3 linked regions of the Arabidopsis thaliana genome follow. The protein of the gene in region 2 interacts with the protein of the main gene of each other region in a pairwise test. Each region holds a gene or a part of one and is shown on either strand. Other genes may lie near its edges.

Region 1 (7,376 bases), on a different chromosome or scaffold from region 2:
TTTGTTCTTTGATTGCATAGCATATATCATCATCTTATTGATATGTTATTTAATTTGTTTGCATATGTTATTATACTATTGATATTTTGTTGATACATTCTTTTTTTGGTTGTTGTGCTTCTTGCATTCAGACGCTTGCATATCTCAAGACGATAGATTTGAGCTTCTCCAATAATTTAGTAGAAGTTCCGGATCTTTCAAAGGCAATAAGTCTCGAGACATTGTGTCTAGAAGGTTGCCAAAGTTTGGCGGAGCTTCCTTCCTCTGTCTTGAATCTTCATAGACTAAAATGGTTGAGGCTGACTATGTGTGAAAAGCTAGAAGTTATACCGCTTCACATCAATTTGGCATCTCTTGAGGTCCTTGACATGGAAGGATGCTTAAAATTGAAAAGTTTTCCAGATATTTCGAAGAACATCGAAAGAATCTTTATGAAAAACACAGGGATAGAAGAAATACCTCCATCAATTAGTCAATGGTCTCGCCTTGAATCCCTTGATATTAGTGGCTGCCTAAACCTCAAGATATTTTCACATGTCCCCAAGAGTGTAGTGTATATATACCTAACGGATAGCGGTATTGAAAGGCTTCCAGATTGTATCAAAGATCTCACTTGGCTACACTACTTATACGTCGATAATTGTAGAAAACTTGTGTCACTGCCAGAGCTTCCAAGTTCGATCAAGATTCTATCAGCAATAAATTGTGAATCACTTGAGAGAATATCTTCATCTTTCGACTGTCCAAATGCGAAAGTCGAGTTCAGCAAATCCATGAATTTCGATGGAGAAGCACGACGAGTAATCACGCAGCAATGGGTTTACAAGAGAGCATGCTTACCTGGCAAAGAGGTTCCTCTGGAGTTCAGTCACCGTGCCAGAGGAGGTTCCTTGACCATCCATCTAGAAGATGAAAATGTTTGTTCTTCATCTTTAAGATTTAAGGCTTGCATCCTACTTTTCCCAAGCGAAAGGAACAATATTTGTACTGTATATTGTCGTCTCATAGGTGAAAGTGGTCGTCTCATCGCAGCACATAGATTTGGTGGAGTTGTCAAGGACTTTGTCACACCGCATCTGTTTATATTTAACTCAGTCTTACTTGAAGAAGTGGATGTGATACGGTTTGGATTCAGCAGCATACACCACGAGATTACGGAATGTGGTGTACAAATATTGACAGATGCATAAGCATTCGGGAGCTATCAGGAACTTCTACAAGATGTCGGAGCGTTCGAAAATGAAAAAAAGTACTTATGTTAAAAGTTTAACTTCATTTCAAACTATATCCACTAAAATACTCGCACGTTATGTTGTGTTATTAGTGCTTCATTATTGGTTTTATTTTGTTCAACAATAACAACTAATAATTGTGGTGTCAAGTTTACGCTTAAGCCTTTGATTTGTTCTTGCAAACCCCGTACGTGTGATGTTGACAGAGATCGGTAAGGTTTAAGACTAATTTTCAATTCAAGATTTATCAAAACTTCTTTTAATAGTGACTATTGTAGATAAAATTGCTCGAGCCAAAGTGTTAATATAAACAACAGAAAACAGTGAAAAGGTGAAGGAACACGTGTTAATTAAGCAGGGCACATCATGGTACGTACGAACGGAAGGTAATGAAGTTTTTTGAGGTAAAAAACGTCAAACCTCAAAGGTCTTAGTATTTGTTAACAACAAAGGAAACAAAACATAATGTGTCTCACTCCTTATCCCCTCCCCACCTATCTTCTTCGATCGGGCTTACTTTCACTACACCCAAATATATTCGTGGCTAATTCTAATTGTTGATTCTTTATTCTACTTTTACCCAAAAAAACTAAAAAAATTGTTGGCGAAAAAAAACAAAATTTTGTTATTAAGACTTACCATTTCTCATTGACTAATCTTACCGGAACATAGATAATTTTGCATTCAATTTTTTTATAATATATCTACGCAATATATTCAGGGCTAATAATAATATATCTTTAAGATAGTCATGCAAAATTCTCTTGCAATCGTACGTAGTTATTATCAAATACAATGGCTTCAAGCATGAAATTAGGCAACTTACTTTCATCACCGATCACCATTTTTTTTGTTTTTTGTTAATAATTAATTCTATGCCACATTTTTTCTGATCTGAATGATACAAATTTTATAATATTTTATCAGTAGTAATTTGAAACTGTGTATATGATGTTTCTTTCATTTTAAACCTCATTAAACATACTAACTGCTTATTCCACTGCCAACATGTAAACATTAGTTTGGATTCAATTGAATGAAAATGAGAATCATATATTTCCATTTAAAGGTTTCTGAAAGTATGAGCTTAAAGCTTTAGTTGTTGTGAAAGATAATTAAGGTGGGAGAAAAGAAGCGAGAAGCCACAAGGACACTAATATGATGCCTATTTTGTATGGGTACACATGCACATGCTTGCACATGTGTTCCGGCCAATTAGCTCTTGTTTTTCCATGTGGTTCGGTATCTCTATATACACTCATGCACCCAATATATATTACACGTCATGGTCATTAGCCATCGCATCCATATAAGTCTTCATCATCCAATCCACGATTCCACTCCCTTCAATAATGCAAAATCTTCAACAGTTTTGTGTTTCATAAAGTTTTACATTCTGTCCTTGTCCAATGAAGACACTTACATAAATGTATAAGTTTTAAAACAAAAGCAAATCATTGAGACATAAATGGAGATAGTATATATGAAGAACAAAAAGAAAAGAGAAGGAAAAACTGTTAGTGTAGGCCTTCTTCGCATTTGACAATAATTTGATCGACATTAGGTGAAATGACGTTCTTGCCCACCAAGTCATGAGCCTTCAAGGACTCTTTGTTCCAATCTGTGTTATAAACAACGGTCAAAATGGAGATTGCACAAGCTAGCTGTGCCCCAAGCAAGCCATAGCATAGGCCCATGAAGCCTAAACCCCACACAAACGCTAAAACAACCGCCACTGGTGCTCCAACTACATAGAAGGCGTAGAAATTAATCTTGGCCCCTATACCTGGCCTCGCACTGCCACGTAAGATTCCACAGCTAATGGTCTGAGGACAGTTGGCAAGCTCACAAGCTCCAATCACCGGAATAACCGCCGCCGTCAGCTCGAGGACAACTTTGTCGGCGGTGAAAACTTTTCCCCAAGCTTCTCTCCCCACGGTGGTCCCCACAAGTCCAAACACTGACACTGCCACGGCGGCTCCGACAGCCACAGTCGCCGCTGTTTTTGCTTTCTCTGGCCGTCCTGCTCCTAACTCGTTGCTTACCCTCGTGGATACCGCGGCCGAGAGGGCCGTTGGGATTGTATACATCAATGAGGTTGTTTGTATCACGATGGCGGCTGCTGCTAGCGCCACCTTCGGCTCGGGGAGATATCCAGCGAGGACCGTCATGAACTCGTACCACCACCACTCCAAGCAAACCGCTATACAGCTCGGAACAGCGAATTTAACCAGCGTTGACCACACATCATTTTCACCGGAGTCTCTCGAACCATACAGCATCAACGGCGTATCAAGACAAAGAGACTTGGAAGTGGTTTTGTCGTTGTTGTTGTTTTCCAAGTAGATGTAGCAAAGGAGAAGCGACAAAGAGATGAAGTTGGTAAGAAAAGAAGAGACGGCGACTCCGGGAACTCCGAGAGAGATGTAAAACGTGAAGAAAGCAGTAATGGGAAGATGAAGAAGGACGGAGACTAACGTGCACCACATCAAAGGCCAAGTGGTGCCTTTACAACGTAAGTAAATACGTAAAGGATGAAGGAAACTATTAGCGAGAAGATCAGGCAAAGAGAAGGAACAATAGAGAGATGCGACACGAGTGATATCATGTTGTTGGCGGAGCATCAGCATTAGAGGCGCGAGGTTTAGCCAAAGGAGTGATATGGGAAGAGAAGCTAAGAGAAGGAGGAAGATGGTTCGCTTGAGGGTTAAGGAAGCGAGTGAAGGGTTTTTAGAACCGATGGCTTGACCACATAATGGTTCCATACCGGTGGCTAAACCAGAGAGGACGGAGTAACCGGTGATGTTGGTGAAACCGATGGCTAAGGCTCCTCCTGCGAGCTCAAGGCTACCGAGTCGTCCCATACACACGACGGATGTCATGTTCTTTAGGTAGTTTAATATGCTCATGGCGGCCACCGGAAAACTTATGTCCCAAATTCTCTTCAGCTCCTCCACCACCTTTTTAAATATTTTAAATAAAAAAATAATAATTATAAGAGAGGAGATATTTGAAAGACTCTATCTGAGGAAGAAGTTTACTAAGAATAGAAGTTTTAGATTTAATTTAGTACCTCGGGCATTGTCGGGTTGTACTTGTGTTGGAGATTTATGAGACGTGAATCTTCTTCGACCACCATTGTTAGTGTTTGTTTATTGAGATGAGAGATTTAAAAAATATGAAGAGAAGATGCCATTTTATAAAGAAATTTTATTTGTTTTGTTTTGTAACATGGAGTTGGGTTTGGCATGGTGGGGGTTCCCAAAATATTGATGTCATTATTTGTTATCCATTTTTCTTTGTGTGGACTCTAATATATACAAGTATAAATACAAACTAAGTATAGTTTGAGAAAAATATAGGATATTAAGTTCAAGATTTAATCGTATATCTCTTATACTATCAAAGTTCGAGATTTTTTTATTTTTTTATTATAGTACGACTCTCAATATCCTACATTTTTATTAAACAACATATTTCTTTATTTTTGGTCAGAATTAAACAAAAGAATGTATTGACCTAAAAGAAGTACGAATCCAAACCTGATTTTGTCGTACAAAAGCGTCACATAAACAAACGAAAGTATAGGCATGTGGAAATTTAAAACAACAAAAAAAAAAGAACAAAACTCAAATCAAATTTCTTCTCAAGATTCTGTTAGTACAAAGTTCCATTTATGATTATCTCTTTATTTAATCTTTGTTAAGAAAGTGAGTGTATATTTTCTTTGGTTATAAAAAAATCATGCATATAGGCAATCTAAATTAAACTAAAATAGTGTTCGGAACATACAATTGTTATCTAATCCATAGTAAATATGAATGCATCTCCGGTGAAACAGTATATATTTGGCCTAATAAATTTGTTAAGAAAGTGAGTGTATAGTTTCTTTGAGTATCGGAAAATCATATAGAGAATCTAAACTAGTGTTCGAACATACAATTGTTATCTTAAAAAATGCATTTACCATGAAATAATCTTTGTGTTGAAAAAATATTAACCAATAGATTACTAACACTTGATTTTAGATATCGAATTTGTATTTCTCCTGAGGAACTACTCTCTTTTTTTGTCCATGATAAAATGTAAGAAATTGAATATGTTAGTTATAAAGGCGTAAATATTATTATGAATATTTTTGAAACTTCGTGTGGTTTAAAAAGATGCATAGAACTAACAACAACCTTTCTAAAATAAAATGTGATAAAAGATATTTATGAAGCTCAAACTAACGATATTAGTAGAAAGTGATATGATTGGTCCATCAGTCTAGAAATGAAACTAGTTAGAATTAGGTATAGCGCAATGTGTTGTCTCCCTCTCACTGTAATTATCAACCCAAAATCGACTTGAAAATTATGTATACCTTTCCTTTAATTTTTTCCCTTTTCCTACTTATTCCCACTCCACTCCCTATAAACTAGTGACATTTTACATCTTGTCTCTGCTTACGTGGATAAATGATCATCATGACAATCGAAAACAATATATATATATATGTGTGTGTGAATTAGCTAGATAGCCCATGTGTGGTTTTAATAAAAATATGAGAAGTTTGATTACATATATTTTAACATTATAAACTACTGAAATACAAGATTGATGCTTTTTTTACCAGGATCTTATTTTATAAGTTCTATAGTGATGAATTATATCATATGAGTAGTGAATTTTTTTAATTTTCATATATTTAAATTATTATTGAAGTTATTTGGTTTATTTGATATATATATATATATATATATGCTAAATACACATATATAGAAATTGAGGAAAATGATTTTTAATTGAAAATACTATTATATATGTAAATCAGATTTTCATATCGATCGTTTTCATAGAATTTGCAAGCCGTTCCAATTGGTCGATATTTGGCCACAAGATATGATTTTCGCAGATGTATAAAATTTATACACATCTTCATACCGTCAATTTTCACACACATGAATCATGATTCATGCATGCTTTCATACGATTTCATGTGTAGTTCTATATAAAGATGTATAAATAATCTTCAAAATCTGTAAATACGAGCAGAAGAAAGTTGTGTAAATCGTGGGGGAAACTAAGTACTGAAAGAAAAAACATAGACAAGTAGTGAACTAGAAGTACCAATAGAGACAGAGTTGTGATGTTCCCATCACAAAGGAAACATATCCTCTCTCCTTTCGTCGCTTATATCTTCTTCTTCTCTTCTTTTGCTTTTTCCACACGTGGCTATTTTTACTTGCTTCCATCTCCACCGTTGATCTCGATGCCCTTTCAATCTACACGTAACATATGCATGGACATATGCCTAACCTATATCTATACTATGCATCGTCTAGTTCGTGTGGTATGAACTTTGTCTCCAATAGCAAGCCGTCGCTCTTCTTTTGCTTCCCCACTCATAGTTTACTATTCATTTTTTAATGTTTTCTAATATGCTTGCTGATAAAGATCCTTCCACTGATATTTTTGTAGCTGGTTTATACGAGATGCATAATTACTAAATAACTAGATTTTAACCCGTGGTACACCGTGGAGACAATTTATATTTTAAAATTAGTATATATAAAATTTTGCTATAAAATATTTTTATTTTATACTTTATATTTGTTATTAAGTAACGTCCTGCTAAATCGCGTCCCGCCAAACCCATCCTGTAAAAAAATCATTATTTTATTAATGTTAATCTTATTTATGATATATTTATGAATCATTGTCTAAATATTTTAGTTCATGTGGGACGTATAACTCACACATTTTTTGCCAATTGATTAATATATGTTTATTTTTAAAATTTCGAGTCACAAAATATGACGGAAAGAATTAAGATTTTTTAAAACTCTATATATTATATAATAATATTAAAAAATTATGATATATTAAACTTTTTATAAGTTTAAATATTAATAATGTTTTATAAAGTCTAGATATATAAATAATAATATTTAATTTTTTTATATTTTGAGCCTTTTAAGTAATGACATAATAATTCTAAAAGCAAGGATTTAGAAGATTTAATATTTTCATTCCTAAATAATTAATGTCAGTGTCATTACATTGTAAATAAGTTCAAATACATGATTTATTTATTTAAACAAAAAACGTTTAGTAAGAATAATATTTGTTTTAACAAAAAAATTTGTTTTAAAATATTGT
Region 2 (9,716 bases):
GACTGGTAAATCAGAGATATCGAAAAGGTATAACATGGTAAAACTGAACAAGAAAAGTTGGTTCTTGATACACACTTGGTTTCTGAGCTCCATTATCTGTGGCTCCTTCTCCAAGTTGTCTCCTGTTACATTTGATCAAATGGAAAGTTCTAGATTTCTGGATTGAACTAAAGTTTCCTGTAGAATTACATGAACCATAGAGTACTTACTAGCTAGCTGCAATGTTTCTCTACGGAGCTCATCTTTGATCTGACGGACAGAAACAAATCACGAAAAAATTAACGTCCAGAGACTATAACAAGGAACCAGAAAGCTGATGACATGATACAGGCTTTATCAAACAATATCAATGTATAGACTTGAAAGAGCACTAATGAATTATATCAACACAGAACTAAAGAAGCTACATATTCTTAGAGCTACAGATAAGACCCTCGGTTATCCAGAAACAACCGACTGTTTTAGAGACTATAACAAAGAACCAGAAAGCTCTAATTACTGGCAACATGTAGAAGATGACGCCATGATAAAGGCTTCCTCAAACAATATCAATGTATATACTTGAAAGAGCACCAATGAATAATATCAACACATAACTAACGAAGCTCCATTCTTAGGACTACAATTAATAGTAATACTCTTAGCTATCCAGAAACAACTGACTGTTTTAGAGACTTACATTATTCTGGACTTTGACCTGGTCAAGAGAGAGCAGAAATTGCTGATACGCATCTTTGTCAGAGAGAAGCTTCCTGAGTTCATCCACGCTACAGAAAAGTATACACTATTCAAAAAGAAGACATACAAAAAAAACGCACACTCGAGAGAAGGATAACAAACAAACAAACAAAAAGAGCAAACCTTTTGTCTTTCAAGAAGACGATAATGCCAGCTGCTTCACCCGGTGATACTTGTGCTGAAATCTGACCTGAACTTTGAGGCCGGGATGAGCTTGGCGAGCTAACTAAAGAAGGCGAGTACCATGGCGACTGTGAAGAAGCTTCCTGAGGACGAGATTGCCCTTGTTGTTGGTCTTTTGATCCCCTTCACGTACACAACAAAAAAAAGAAACATCATCAACTAACTATCTCAGCTTCCAAGTTAATATAATACATCACCTCATAAACTTGAAAGGTGCATTTATACAGCACATCATTGTAAACCTAATATCAGTAACTATGAACCCTAAATCAGTAGCTGAGCAAAATCTACACTTGTCAATTCACCTCAAAAACCTCAAATATATCATTATAGCTCAACAAACTACACAACAACAAGATTTCCTTAATCGCTAACAGACCTAATGTCTGGATCACGCAATTTCATCAATAACATATGAATCAGATGGCAAAAAATTCGCAAAATCATACCAGAAATTGAACATCGTTTCTAGAATTCGCCGACTAACGAAAGGAATTGACTTTTTCTTGTTCTCTTGTACTTCTTCTTCCTACCAGATCGACAAAATTTAACAACTTTACAGAAACAGAGTTTACAGAGTTTCAAAGAAAATTCGATCTTCTCTGTTTCGTTTCAGATTTTGCTACTTGCTTTTAAAAGGCCCAAATACGAGGAGGCCCATATTAAGTTTTGATTAACAAAACGTAGTCGTTTTATGCATCGTCGTCCTTATCCACGCGTAACGGTTCGCGTTTCTACACAGAGTCAAATATTTCTGCACGGAAGCTTCGAAAAGAGGTCATCAATGGAGTCTTCACTCTTTTCTCCATCTTCCTCTTCTTACTCTTCTCTCTTCACTGCAAAACCTACGCGTCTTTTATCACCAAAACCCAAATTCACATTCTCCATCAGATCCTCCATTGAGAAACCCAAACCCAAACTCGAGACCAATTCATCGAAATCCCAATCATGGGTCAGTCCCGATTGGCTCACAACACTCACTCGTACCCTTTCCTCAGGAAAAAACGACGAGTCAGGTATACCAATCGCGAACGCGAAGCTCGACGATGTCGCTGATCTCCTCGGAGGTGCTCTCTTCTTACCTCTCTACAAATGGATGAATGAGTACGGACCCATTTACCGTCTCGCTGCTGGTCCTCGTAATTTCGTAATTGTGAGCGACCCAGCGATAGCTAAACATGTTTTGAGGAATTATCCAAAGTACGCTAAAGGCTTAGTCGCTGAAGTCTCTGAATTTCTATTTGGTTCGGGTTTCGCTATCGCTGAAGGACCTCTTTGGACAGTAATTTCATCTCCTCCTATCTCAATTTTGAAGTTTTTGGAATTGTGGAAGTAATGTGTGACTGTCTTGTATGATAAGTAACTCTAATTTTAGGGTTTAGATTCCAATCTTCTCTATTGGGCTTAGCTGAAGTCTGATTTTTTACATAGGCGAGGCGTAGAGCGGTGGTTCCATCGCTTCACAGGAGGTATTTGTCTGTGATTGTGGAGAGAGTATTCTGCAAATGTGCAGAGAGGCTTGTTGAGAAGTTGCAGCCTTATGCAGAAGACGGAAGTGCTGTGAATATGGAAGCGAAGTTCTCTCAGATGACACTTGATGTCATTGGGTTGTCTCTTTTTAACTACAATTTCGATTCTTTGACTACTGATAGTCCTGTCATTGAAGCTGTTTACACTGCTCTTAAAGAAGCTGAGCTTCGTTCTACTGATCTTCTGCCATATTGGAAGGCAAGTTTCCTGTGTTTTTTCTGTGGTTTGTTGATTGTGTGGAACAATTGGATTCTTGTTAATTGAGAGGGTTTGGTTGTTTTTTTCAGATCGATGCATTGTGTAAGATAGTCCCGAGACAGGTGAAAGCTGAAAAGGCTGTAACTTTGATAAGGGAAACTGTTGAAGACCTTATTGCTAAGTGTAAAGAAATTGTCGAAAGAGAAGGCGAAAGAATCAATGATGAGGAGTATGTAAATGATGCTGACCCAAGTATCCTGCGTTTCTTGCTTGCAAGCAGAGAAGAGGTTTAAACTTTTTTCCTTAAGTTTATAAGCAAATTTGGCCTTTCATTATCGCATAATCGAAGCTGATGTTGCATTGTGAGGGTTTTCAGGTATCAAGTGTGCAGTTACGGGATGATCTTCTCTCAATGCTCGTAGCGGGTCATGAAACCACTGGATCTGTCCTCACTTGGACACTTTATCTCCTAAGTAAGGTACCTTAATGTATCTTCTACTTTGCTATGCTAGAGAATTTACTTGGATGGGAGCTTCTCTGTTCTCATTTACCTCTTCAAATTCTCTATGTTCATAGAACTCATCTGCATTAAGGAAAGCACAAGAAGAAGTAGACAGAGTGTTAGAAGGAAGAAACCCGGCTTTCGAGGATATAAAGGAGTTGAAGTACATCACTCGTTGTATAAACGAGTCAATGCGTCTCTATCCTCATCCTCCTGTAAGCAATCAAGCTCATCTCTCTAATTATTCATGAACTAAATTTTCTGATTGATTTGTTTCCTGGTAGGTCTTGATAAGAAGAGCTCAAGTTCCTGACATTCTTCCTGGGAACTATAAGGTCAATACCGGACAAGACATTATGATTTCAGTCTATAACATCCATCGTTCTTCCGAGGTACAGTTCTCTTCCTTCTCTCGTCCATAGTATAACATAGGGGAGCCTAATCCTTCTCTTCAATGATCTTTGTGTGGTTCGGATATCTAACCGGAGTGGACATTCCTAGTATTACATTCATGCCCACATTTCTTATGTGTTTGTTGTTTGTTATTCCAAAGGTATGGGAAAAAGCTGAGGAATTTCTGCCTGAACGATTCGACATAGATGGCGCAATCCCTAACGAAACAAACACTGATTTCAAGTAAACTCAGTAGAACACATCTTTTGACACAAACTACTGAATCAAGATTAGTGGTTTTGATTAGGGAATTTAAAAGATGATTTTCTTTTTTCACCAGATTCATCCCATTCAGTGGAGGGCCTAGAAAATGTGTAGGCGATCAGTTTGCATTGATGGAGGCAATTGTGGCACTCGCGGTGTTTCTTCAGCGGTTAAACGTTGAGCTGGTTCCTGATCAGACCATTAGCATGACCACAGGAGCAACCATACACACCACCAATGTATGCCAATGTTCTCACACTCGAGAGATTAATGAGAGTGTCTGTTTTGTTTAGAATGATTCCAATTTCTCTAATGCTGATATTTTCAATTTCAGGGATTGTATATGAAGGTGAGCCAAAGGTAAAAACCAGAATTTATGTTTTCATGATAATTGATTGGTGTGAATGGACTTGTTTCATAGTACTCTTGAGAAATAACCACAAAAAAATGAATTATGGAAAATAGTTGTACCATCGGAAATGTGAATTTTGAACAGTGAGATGCTAGTACCATTAAAGTTTGGTAATTGTGTTATCATTTCAAATCAAACTTTCATACAGCTTGTGTTTGTTCTCCATTTTTCAGTAATTACGAAAATCAAAATTTTATTTTTTTTTGAATTTCTAAATAATAGACTAAGGTCTAAAACCATCCCATTCCATATGGACCACACGTAACATTAACCTTAAAAACCATATAAAACCATATAAAACCAATACTAGTGGGTTCTATAGCGATGTGTAGTTTCACTTTCACGTACGAGGAAGATTAAAAAAAATGGAGAACGAAAGCTCAGAGAGTAGAAACAGAGCTCGTCTTGCCATTATGGAGCTTGCTAACATGATTAGCGTTCCCATGTCTCTCAATGCCGCCGTGCGACTAGGCATTGCCGACGCCATTTGGAACGGCGGAGCCAATTCTCCTCTCTCTGCCGCCGAGATCCTCCCTCGCCTCCACCTACCATCTCACACTACCATTGGTGGCGACCCCGAGAATCTTCAGCGTATACTTCGGATGCTCACCAGCTACGGTGTCTTCTCCGAACACCTTGTTGGATCCATTGAGAGGAAATACTCTCTTACGGACGTCGGAAAAACTCTTGTAACCGACTCCGGCGGCCTCTCTTACGCTGCCTACGTCCTCCAACATCACCAGGTTTATGACTCATTTTCATTTTCCAAAATTGGAGTGATATATTAAAGGACTAATGATGGTATAATAAACTAATGTCTAAAACTTGTTGTGAAAATGATATATATTACAGGAGGCGTTGATGCGAGCATGGCCACTAGTTCACACGGCAGTGGTGGAGCCGGAGACAGAGCCGTACGTGAAAGCAAACGGCGAGGCGGCATACGCTCAGTATGGGAAAAGTGAGGAGATGAATGGTCTAATGCAAAAGGCAATGTCTGGCGTATCTGTACCGTTCATGAAAGCTATATTAGACGGCTACGATGGGTTTAAATCAGTGGATATTTTGGTTGACGTAGGAGGTAGTGCAGGGGATTGTCTGCGTATGATCCTTCAACAATTTCCTAACGTCCGTGAAGGGATTAATTTCGATTTACCTGAAGTTGTTGCCAAAGCCCCCAATATTCCTGGTGAGATTTTGTATTTATGATATATTGTACGTACGTTATTTTCTGAAAGTAAAAAGCTATTTTTAGTAATGTACGGAGTAATAATGGATGATATATTGTATGGTTTAGGAGTGACTCACGTGGGTGGGGATATGTTCCAATCAGTTCCTAGCGCTGACGCTATCTTCATGAAGGTTTGTTGTAACATTATTGTCTGTCACGAGAATACACCTACTAACATTTTTGCTAATAGGACGAATTCTAGTTTCTGTATATAGTTTTAATGTTTAGTGATATAGGTATAAATTTATAAGTCGCTTCGGACAATATGTTTGGTAGTATATAGTCTTAGTTATCGTTAGATCATGCGACTGGTCACTTTCATTTATTTATGATCATTTAAATATTGATTATACATTTCTCAAACCAAAAACTTGTGATCTGTTAGACCATGGATAGGGATCTCATGTTTGTTGAAAGAACAACACAAACAAATACACACATTTTTTGCTTCTCTGGTCCCAAATTAATATCTTGTAATATTGTTGTTTGAGTGTAAAGTGGGTGTTAACGACATGGACGGATGAAGAATGCAAGCAGATAATGAAGAATTGCTACAACGCGTTACCAGTTGGAGGAAAGCTGATTGCGTGTGAGCCGGTCTTGCCTAAGGAAACCGATGAAAGTCACCGGACTCGTGCCTTGTTAGAAGGTGACATCTTTGTCATGACCATCTATAGAACCAAAGGTAAGCATAGAACCGAAGAAGAGTTTATAGAGCTTGGTCTCTCCGCGGGATTCCCTACTTTTCGACCTTTCTACATTGATTACTTCTACACCATCTTAGAGTTTCAGAAGTAATATTCAAGCATTTTTCTTCTCATATTTCTAAAAGCTTCAAAATAATGAATCAAAAGACCTCTTTGTTAATTGAGTTGAGATATCTAGTGAAGACATTAATATTTTCATCAAGATGTAATAATCTAAAGTCTATATTCTAAGTGCATCCTTAAAAGGCATTTTCCATATATATAAGTTTCATCTTTCGAGAAAAAGGAAAAAAGACTCTTTAAGTGATGATTTCAAGAGTATTTCTAAATCACTCATTAGGCTAAGAGAAGAGTTCGAAAGTATACATATTATGCACATTATATCTATATGAATTTTTCTTCTTTGGCAAAAAGAAAAATCGTTTGGTGTTATTCTTATAAATCTTATGTCAACTTCTACATTCGATTTTTCTACACGAGACTCAATTGCTCCAAAACATCTTGGATTAAAATTGAAACGTTAATACTCGAAGATCCCTTTTCTTCCACAGCCTTTTTCGCCATTACTGCAAGTTCTTGAATACGTCTCCTTCGTCTCACGAATTCATTATCATCATCATTTTCGTCTACACGTTGACAATCTTGGTCCATCAAAAGCTTTATAGCTTTCACAACACTCGGTTTCTTGACCAACACTCCAAGTCTCTCCTCGTCTCCCCATCTCACCGGAATCTCCACCCCAACCCTAACCCCGATGTTCAAAACCTCCACGATGAGTTTCTCATTGAGAAATTGTTCAGCGAACAACGGCCATGTGATCATTGGTACACCAAAACATATCGCTTCTATTGTAGAATTCCAACCGCAATGAGTCAAGAACCCGCCGGTTGAACCATGTGAGAGTATCATAGCCTGAGGACTCCAACCCTTTATTACTATCCCTCTTCCTCTAACTCGCTCTTCAAAATTTTCGCGTTTTAGCCATTCGTCTAGCTCAATCATGTGTTTTTCCTCGGTCTTTATCACCCAAATAAAGGGTTTTCCCGATTCTTCTAACCCTAAACCTAGTTCTATCAATTGATTAGGTATTAGTCGACAGAGGCTACCAAGAGAAACATATAAGACTGACCTTGGTCTCATCGAGTCAAGAAACTGCAAGCATTCGGTCTCGCTTATTGCGATGTTACCATTACTTCCTCTATCGAATAGGTCAGCCATACGGTCGTTGCATAAAGAAACGGGTCCAACGAACCATACCTTCTTATTGATGGCCTCAGCGTAGGCCTCTGCATAGCCAGGCTCCAATTCCTGGAAGCTATTAACAATAACCCCAAAGGCTTCTGATTCAGATTCACGCATCTTCTCGCGAACGTCATCCATATTTGCTAACTTCTCAAAAGCACCAGGTAACTGAGCTCTAGCTATCTCAATCCTATGTGGCATTCCTGGTATAGGGAATGGCTCTACGGCCGAAGAAACCGAGAGGTGCGGGCTATGAAGATGGATATTGTGCGAACTCAAAAGAGAGAAGCAACACATTCCATGGAACACGATCCTCGGGATTTTGAACCTCTTTGCGGTTCTTGACGTCCAAAAAAGGCATTTATCGGAGATTATGCAACTTGGAGGGATATCTTGTTGCTCAAGAAACCGTTCCATGGGCTCTTGGAGTTTATCCACAGCGTCATAGAATCTTCGTAGGAGGTCTTTGGAGGGCAAAGTGTCCAGAGTCTCACAATCTTTGGGAAGACCGAATTCTTTGTAAGGAATTGGAAATTTAACGACATTGATTTCGAGACCCGACTCTAATCTTGCTCGGTCAACTGTCTTCGCAAACCTAGAAGCATTTTGAGGGGTTGTAACTATGGTAACGATGTTGCCTTGTCGTGCAAGAATCTTGGAGATGTCGACCATGGGGATCAGATGCCCTTGAGCCATGAGAGGGATCAAAACAAAGTGAAGTCTTTTGGCTTTTGAAACTATTTTTGATTCCATTTTTGGGTTTAGCAAATGTTTATGCATATACAAAATTCGACAATGTGTATATACGTGTGTGAATGCATCTGGTGAGAGACCTTTAATTAATTGGGAAAGTCATCAAAAGCTGTATATATATACTGACTTTGAACAAGTCACCAAAAAAGAACTATTGTTTAGAGAACCAATCATGTACCCTCATTCTTATAAAAAAAAATCGCTGACGGTGATGAGTTACGTCATTCATGACACTTAATGAGTTACATAAGATAAAACTTCAAGGAAAATATATATGTGAGGAAAACTTCAAGGAAAATTCACAAATGAAACAAAAAAAAAAATGTTGAGTTATCCAGTGAGATATGTAAATTTAAGTTAAAAGAATCTTATCTTAAATATTTATTAGTAAAACAAGTTAAATATTCACTGACACTTACGAAAAGACAACTATATATATAAAAATATCGTTATCTTAATTTGGTTTATTTTGTATTACGACTTCTGTATAAAGAAGTACCAAGTAGGTCAAGCTTGGCCGATGGGGCTGTTAGAGTTCCATTGATTATGGTTTTGTCTCCACCTAAAGATAGATTATTTGTTTGGTTATCACATGATCGATCACATCGTTAATCTACATGAGTTTCATTTAATTTCTTTCCGGTGTGTTCAAAGAGATCGATTTGTTAATGCAAATGAAATCAATTTAAAATTAGCACTCGATAGAATTTCAACACATTTGTACAAGAGTTCACGTTGAGCTTTAAATTGAACAAAAGAAGAAGAATTAGGACTTCTAATTTTATACAAAATGTGATTTTATTTTCCTCATAATAAAGAGTCTTTTTTGCGTAGGTTTAGGTTCACGGAGTTCCTGTTTTTCTTTGTTCCAAACATTGGTTCCAAGATCGCATGAAAGAAAGAGAGAAGGAAAACAAAATCAAAGGCGCTATCTCAAAGTCAAGATAGATTGAACAAGATATGATATTCGATATGTAATTTTTTAATTTATATTTTTGGAATCAAATTCATCTGGTTGTAATGAACGAATCTATAACTTTTTTATTTTTTTTGGGCAAACGAATCTATACTTTTGATGCGAAATGATTGAGATATTCTATAAAGTTATTGTCTATCAGAATATGTATACTAAAAAGATTATTTTGATGACTAATTAAGAACAAGATAATGTATGGAAAGAAAAAAAGATAATGAATGACAACTTGGATATATTTTTATATATTAATGTATGATCTCAACCCTCGGTTATGTAGGTTGCCCATCGAAATATATTGGAGATTAAGCCTTTAAAAAAAAAAAATATATACATATATTGGAGATTGGGAAAAAATACTTCCCAAGTTTAATTTTTTATCATCAAAAGTTCATAAAATATTTTAAGTCAAGGCATTTCTACAAACTAATTAGGAAACTATATACCTAGCTAGCTAGCTTTTAGCCCAAGAAAATCATATAGTTGTGATAGTTAATTTAAGCATTCGTTTTGAATAAACAAACACCAAACACCACGGCATATTTTCCTTATCTTTTTAGAGTTCCGTCTGAAAAGGACATATTTTTTTG
Region 3 (6,798 bases), about 18 Mb from region 2:
TTGTGACCATCTTGCACGTAGTGTCGGACGTCATTTTGGCGCTGTTGTGATCCATGGAGACAAGACTCAAGGTGAGAGAGATTGGGTGCTTAACCAGTTCCGAAGCGGGAAGTCTTGTGTACTGATAGCTACTGACGTTGCTGCCCGGGGACTCGACATAAAAGACATACGGTTTGTTGTAATAATTCCTGGTATATATCTCTTTGCTTGTTTGTTATCAAGATTACTTACCTTTGTTCGTGTTTATACTACTTCAGAGTTGTGATCAACTACGATTTTCCAACTGGAGTTGAAGACTATGTCCACCGTATTGGGAGAACCGGTCGAGCTGGTGCAACTGGAGTTGCATTCACTTTCTTTACAGAGCAAGATTGGAAATACGCACCTGATTTGATCAAAGTCCTGGAAGGAGCGAACCAGCAAGTACCGCCTCAAGTAAGAGATATTGCAATGCGTGGTGGTGGTGGTGGTGGTCCCGGTTATAGCCAGGATCGAAGAGGTATGGTTAACCGGTTTGACTCTGGCGGTGGTGGTACCCGTTGGGATTCTGGTGGTGGGTTTGGTGGGCGTGGTGGTGGGTTTAGTGGCCGTGAGGGTGGGTTTGGAGGCCGTGAGGGTGGATTTGGGGGCCGTGAGGGTGGATTTGGAGGCCGTGGGGGAAGATTTGGAATGAGAGATGACTCATTTGGACGTGGCGGGAATCGTGGTCGGGGTTTTACTGGTCCTGATGCTGGTCATATGAATGTGGGTGGTAGAGGCGGATTTGGTCGGTTTGGCAATAATAATAATATGGAGAGCCGAGGCTTTGGTCGTGGTAGTGGTAGAGGCTTTGGTCGTGGTGTTGGACGGTTTGACAACAGAAGAGGTAGAAGTCGCAGCAGAAGTCCTGATTTGGTTCGGCCACGGCGCCGTAGCTCGAGCTATAGCCGGAGTCGAAGCCGGAGCGGGAGCTATAGTCGTAGCCGTAGCCGTAGCAGGAGCTGGTCACGTTCAAGGAGTCGCAGCCCTAGACATAGCCGTGACCGAGGTGGTCATAACAGGAGCAGAAGCTATAGCCGTAGTCCTAGTCCGGTTTATGAAAGACGAGATAGAGCGCCACGTGTTTCTGGGTTTGATATTAAACCACCAGTTGAATCTGTAGTGAACCTGGACATGAATGCCGCGGCAGCGATTGAAAACGTGGTTCCTACATCCTTGTCTGAGAGACAAGGGAATGGGGTTGTTGAATCGGAGGTAGAAGCGGCTTTAGTACGACCAGTGGTTGATGAAGAACCCTAAAACCAAATCATAGAATGATATAAATCCTCACTACGGAGATATCACAAGCTCACCCCAAATTTTTTGGGTATTGAATGGATTCACCAAATCAGACAGCTGACACGTCTTCTCAGATTTGTTGGCTGAGGTTTCTTTATTTTCATTTTTTTATTTTTTTCTCATGTTCTTGTTGTATCATGGAGAATTAGTTTGTAATGTATTTGAGAATTTTTATCGTTTATGTAAACGCCTTCTATTGCCTTCAGAAAAATCTAGACTAGCATCAAAGGAAGAACTTGGGAAAAACTGTAATTCTAGTCTTCTAGATAGACAGATACAGCATTTAGAGATGATAAATTTACAATGTTCTTGGAATGGTGAACGATGTTTAAATTCAATTCTTGCTTACATCATTGCATGAATTCTTTAGATTGAACGTACTTTTCAGTCAAAGAATTAGAGATGATGAGTCCATGTCATGACTTTTGTGATATTTTGATATTTTCTGTCATCTTATATTCATACAAGTACAAAAGTATCTCAACATTTGCAAGTACAACACAGACAAAAATTTCAAAATAAACAACAATTCAAGACAATTAATCCTTTTGTGTGGAAACTAATCAACAATTCAAGACACAATGAGAGGTTTTACTTATTGTCCAAGAAACCAATCTAATCGCTTTTTTTGCCATCCTCTCTCGTTGGCTTCTTGACATAATTCTTTGAATGGAAGTTGGAAAAGAGAGCCAAAAGAGAAGCATTAAATGCAGCGTTGAAACACCATCCCCAAATCCCGGTGCAACCCGACCCGAATAAGTGCTCTCGGAGCATCCAACCGGATAACCCGAAACTGAAAACAAACTGAACAATCTGACAATCCGTCACCAATCTCTTCCACTTGGGCCTCGATCCAACGGCGCAGAGGAAGTAGTAACCGTACATGATGACGTGTACCGTCGAATTCGTCACGAGCGCAATCGGAAACATCGATTGGCGAGTTCGGAGCCAGAGATAACACATGACCACAACCGTCGCGTGGTGGTACACGTGGAGGAAGGATAGCCGTTGGATTGATTTGCCGAGTATGATGAGGATCGTGTCTCCGAACTCGAGGATCTTCGAGAGGTAGAAGACTTGAGCCCAGAAGAAAAGCGGTCCGTTAGGTTTAACGTCGACGGGAAAGCAAATCGCGTGAAGGAAACGCGCCATCGGATCTGAAGACGCGTGAGATGAGGTTATTGAGAGAGTGCAACCGACGGCCATGACTAAGGAGAGGAGACAGAGGATTAGGCTGTGGACGGCTGTGATCGGTTTGAGGATACGTGGACTGAGTGATGGGAGTGAATCGATGGCGGATCGGAGGAGGAACGTGGCGGAGAGGTAAACGGAGACTACGACGGATACGAAAAAGACGGTGGAGCCTAGGGTTTCACCTTCGATCCAAGTAAAATTGGAGATGTAGGGGTGGTTAACGAGCCAGTAGGTTAAAGAGGAGTAAATTGATGCCATAGCCTCCGGTGAATCGCCGACGAAGTTTGGGGAGTTGACGTTTGAAGATATGGTTTAGCGAGAGATGAAGGATCAAAGGCTTACCCAATTGGCTAATTTTCATGAAAGTGGGTCCCAGAGGATCTTGTTTTTATCTTTTTTAAGTATAGTATCGTATAATATTATATTTAGATGATATGCTACTGTTGTTGTTATTTGTTGAATTGGGCCACGCCGCCGTAGCCCGTAGTTCTAGCCCGGTTTATGAGGACTACGAGATAGGCCCATTGTAGCAGCGGCGGCTCTTAAAAACCGTGGTCACTCTCTCCTCCATTATCATAAAGAGAGGGTTTGGTACGACCAGTGGTTGATGAACCAACACTGGTAGGCATAAAAAATATTATAGAACTAATCTCAGTGTCCAATCCTTTAAAGAAACGTTGGTTGGCAAATGTTGTATAGAAAGATGTATGCAATAAGAAGAATCAGACGATCATGATGATTTTATGTGACATTTTTATATATTTTGTCATCTTATTCGTTAATATATAAAACAATTTCAAACCATGCATCCCAACATTTTACAGTAACAACTAACAACACACATCAACATATCCAAACTAGATATATATATAATAATCATGACAATTTAATCGTTTTTCTTGGAAAATAATGTAATCGCTTTATTTGCCCACCTCTCTCCGTGAATAAATATAAAGGATTCGATCTTATACAAAGGCGACGTTGTAGTCTTCTCATAGTTCTTGGAGTGGAAGTTGTAGAAGAGAGCCAATAGAGAAGCAGTAAACACACCATTGAAATAAACTGTCCAAATCCCGGCGCAACCCGACCCGAAATAATGCTCTGGGAGCATCCAAGCGGCTCCTAACCCCATGCCGAAAGCAAACTGAACCATTTGAAAATTCGTCACCAACTTCTTCCACTTGGGCCTCGATCCGATAGCGCAGAGGAAATAGTACCCGTACATAATCACATGGACCGTCGAGTTCAACACGAGCCCAACAGGAAACATCGATTGACGTGTTCGTAACCAGAGGTAGCACAAAATCACAACCGTTGCGTGGTGGTAGACGTGGAGGAACGAGAGCCGTTGGATTGATTTGTTGAGTATGATGAGAAGTGTGTCTACGAACTCAAGGATCTTCGAGAGGTAAAAGACTTGAGCCCAAAAGAAAAGCGGTCCCTTAGGTTTCACGTCGAGGGGGAAACAAACGGCGTCGAAGAGACGCGCCTTCGGGTCCGAGGAAGAGATTAGGGAGAGAGTGCAACCAACGGCCATGGTTAAGGAGAGGAGGAAGAGAATGAGGCTGTGAACGGCTGTGATTGGTTTGAGAATGCGGGGACCGAGTGTGGGGAGTGAATCGACGGTGTATCGGAGGAGGAATGTGGCGGAGAGGTAAAGGGAGACGACGACAAAGACAAAGAAAACGGTGGAGCCTAGTGTTTCACCTTCGGTCCACGTGAAGTTGGCAATGTAGGGGTGGTGGACGAGCCAGTAGGTTAGGGTGGAGTAAACAGATGCCATTATTCTCTAGCGAAGTTAGTTTGGAGGAGTTGAAGTTTGATATGGCTTATATACACATACTAATGGAGTAAACGGATGGTGGCGTTGCGTCTTCTTATTTGTTTTGGAACATGAAGTACAACGGTGCCATTGCGTCATGAATACTCTAAGTCACGCAACTGCTCCGGTTTCCCGGCACTGATATGGGAGAGAGACGATGGGGTCATCAGAGGCTTACCAATTTGAATAACGTGGGAAGGTAATATCGTAATGAATGCATCATCAATATTTTTTTATCATGCATAAGCATAACGTGGGAAGGTAATATCGTAAAATCTAGTTATCAATGTGATGATGATTAATGCTAATGGTGTTTTAAAAGGAGAAAAACTTGTCTTTAATAAGAGGAAGTTTAGGCTTGGTGACTGAAAATTGTCGTTTTTTCAAATAAGGCTATAGGTTTTTAAAACATTTGGGCTTAGAACCCATTTCGGTAGGGACTTAACCAAAGATAACTGAAACATTTGAACTCCTAGGCCTTGTCATCTAACACACATTTCTTATTTACATAATGGCTTGTATGATTTGAACTACAAGCCAAAAAACTTCAAAAGGGTGTAATCTTTTTGAAGATGGATGTTGGTCTTCATTTCTTGGCCAGTAATTTCTTCGGGAGCTTATCGAGGGGCGTTGATTTAAGTAAAAATAGCCTCGCAGCTCGCTCTCGCAATGTCCCTCTGCATTTCAGACCGCGTGACTGAAGCTCAGTCTTCAATCTCTCCATCCCCAAAACCTCCATATCTGTGGCTGCTTTGAACTCAGCAAAGTTAAGCGGTTCAACAGGTTTGCAACACACTCTTTCTTTCGCAGTTCCTCCTCTCTTTACGACAAAATCATCGTTTCCACTTGATTTCTCCACCTTTTCAAGTTGATCCATTGCATCAGCAACAGCAAAATCATCCATCTTCTCTTCGTTAATTCTTTGAACAACCGTGATCTCTCCCTTAACTACATCTGAACTTTGGTGCACTACAAAGTCGTTCTCACCATCATGGGATCCATCCAAAACAGAGCCTGAGCTTTCATCAGTATCCTTATGATCTGAATCAACTTGACCACCAACAACAGATTTCTCATCTTCCTCGTCACTGCTATCATCACTGTCACTATCTTCAACAGCTCTCTTTCCATTCCATATTTTGATTCGTTTCGATTTTTCAGATTCTGCAGTACCCATCTTCTTCCCTTTTCTCTTATTCCCATTCTTGAAAGTTTCGTTCAAAGCCAAATGCACAGCCAAAATACACTTATCAGATCCCCCCTTATACTTGTTGACATTCTTCTGCGTAGCTCCATCTCCAACACCTTGTTTAGCATTATTGGATTGCTCCTTCAGATACTCAAGAGCCTTTTTCTCAAAATTCCTCCCTTATTCACCATCCTTCCACTCCTGAAGCCTGTTCTCGGCGTTTACATCTCCGTTCACTCATATCCCTACACGAATCGAAATTGTTTGTCTTCTTCTGTCCAGCTTTCATAACCACATTACGAAGTAACGATCCGAGTCCACCTTTGCCTCCACGGAGGGACAGGACAAGATTCATGGTGGTGTCAGACTGAGAAATCGCGGATGCGCCGGGGATTTGGAATCCTCCGCTTATCAATCTCTGTAGATGCGTCGGAATCTTCGTTTGCTCGAAGATCCGCTGCTTGATCTGCTCGCCACACGCTATCGGAGAGGAAAAGGTTAGGGTTACTGATTTTCCGTCGAGTAGTCTCACGAAAAACTGCAACGGCTTACAACTTTGATCCGCCATCGATTTTCGATTCTAAAGCTTGGACGAAGAAGAAGAACAAAGTTCGATTCGATTTCTGGAGAGAAATTGGGGGAAAGTTGAAAAACGGATCCCTAAGGTAGTCTGAGTCTCTCTCTCTCTCTGCTTGTTGGGCTAAGAATAAGATTTCTTTTTGGTAATGTGTTGGGCTAAGAATAAGATTGATATCTCTTCTGATGCGGTTTCTTCTTGTTGGGCTTCATAGTTGGGCTTTTCGTTTTGAAAAGTCTTAGGTTTTATGTTTTGCTTTGGCTAGTTTGTTGTCTATGACCTTTTTAGCTTGATGTATGTGTTTCGTATCTTAATAAAATACAAAAGAGTGTATTACAAAAGAAAAAAAAAAAGATGTTTGTAGAGTGAATTAAAATTATAGTATAAATTATGCGAGAAAAATGAATACTATAAAAAATGGTTAGCAAACTAGTATTTTCTAATCAGTGAGTGCTGGAAATCACCGCCCATTAGTACTGTAGATTAGGATGCCACTAGCTAGTAAATAGAAGATATTTATTAGGAAAATTCGTCCAAAGAATTTGTAAAAAACTAAAAACCCATTAAATCAAGTAAATCGTCATTGTCAGAAAATGTGACATGTTTTTGGAAAAAGATTCCAATTCATCAATCCGAGAAAAATGTATGACTCAAAAATCTAAAAATGTCTTAGTTTGGAAGAGATGAGAATGAGATAAA

Evidence for each region.
Region 1: the proteins of LUT1 (region 2) and AT5G49130 interact in a protein complementation assay, tested with the Arabidopsis thaliana proteins (one large-scale study listed by BioGRID).
Region 3: the proteins of LUT1 (region 2) and AT3G06470 interact in a protein complementation assay, tested with the Arabidopsis thaliana proteins (one large-scale study listed by BioGRID).

What each region holds. Positions count from the first base shown.
Region 1 is NC_003076.8:19,912,899-19,920,274, reverse strand, and holds AT5G49130 (MATE efflux family protein), read right to left. Parts: upstream 4,404-7,376; 5' UTR 4,372-4,403; coding exon 4,306-4,371; exon of another isoform or gene 4,193-4,305; coding exon 2,750-4,192; 3' UTR 2,308-2,749; downstream 1-2,307. Other genes in the region: AT5G49140 (Disease resistance protein (TIR-NBS-LRR class) family), read left to right, coding at 132-1,190.
Region 2 is NC_003074.8:19,691,107-19,700,822, forward strand, and holds LUT1 (Cytochrome P450 superfamily protein), read left to right. Parts: upstream 1-1,650; 5' UTR 1,651-1,705; coding exon 1,706-2,203; intron 2,204-2,352; coding exon 2,353-2,649; intron 2,650-2,738; coding exon 2,739-2,936; intron 2,937-3,025; coding exon 3,026-3,127; intron 3,128-3,225; coding exon 3,226-3,366; intron 3,367-3,435; coding exon 3,436-3,543; intron 3,544-3,704; coding exon 3,705-3,787; intron 3,788-3,884; coding exon 3,885-4,047; intron 4,048-4,142; coding exon 4,143-4,172; 3' UTR 4,173-4,585; coding exon of another isoform or gene 4,586-4,963; intron 4,964-5,072; coding exon of another isoform or gene 5,073-5,409; intron 5,410-5,517; coding exon of another isoform or gene 5,518-5,582; intron 5,583-5,949; coding exon of another isoform or gene 5,950-6,249; 3' UTR 6,250-6,436; downstream 6,437-9,716. Other genes in the region: VPS37-1 (Modifier of rudimentary (Mod(r)) protein), read right to left, coding at 76-122, 210-249, 680-767, 862-1,044, 1,371-1,384; AT3G53140 (O-methyltransferase family protein), read left to right, coding at 4,586-4,963, 5,073-5,409, 5,518-5,582, 5,950-6,249; UGT73D1 (UDP-glucosyl transferase 73D1), read right to left, coding at 6,630-8,180. UniProt on the Arabidopsis thaliana protein: Heme-containing cytochrome P450 involved in the biosynthesis of xanthophylls. Specific for epsilon- and beta-ring hydroxylation of alpha-carotene. Has only a low activity toward the beta-rings of beta-carotene.
Region 3 is NC_003074.8:1,980,177-1,986,974, reverse strand, and holds AT3G06470 (GNS1/SUR4 membrane protein family), read right to left. Parts: upstream 3,245-6,798; 5' UTR 2,770-3,244; coding exon 1,933-2,769; 3' UTR 1,645-1,932; downstream 1-1,644. Other genes in the region: AT3G06480 (DEAD box RNA helicase family protein), read left to right, coding at 1-171, 258-1,278; AT3G06460 (GNS1/SUR4 membrane protein family), read right to left, coding at 3,398-4,294; AT3G06455 (ubiquitin family protein), read right to left, coding at 4,920-5,638, 5,772-6,090.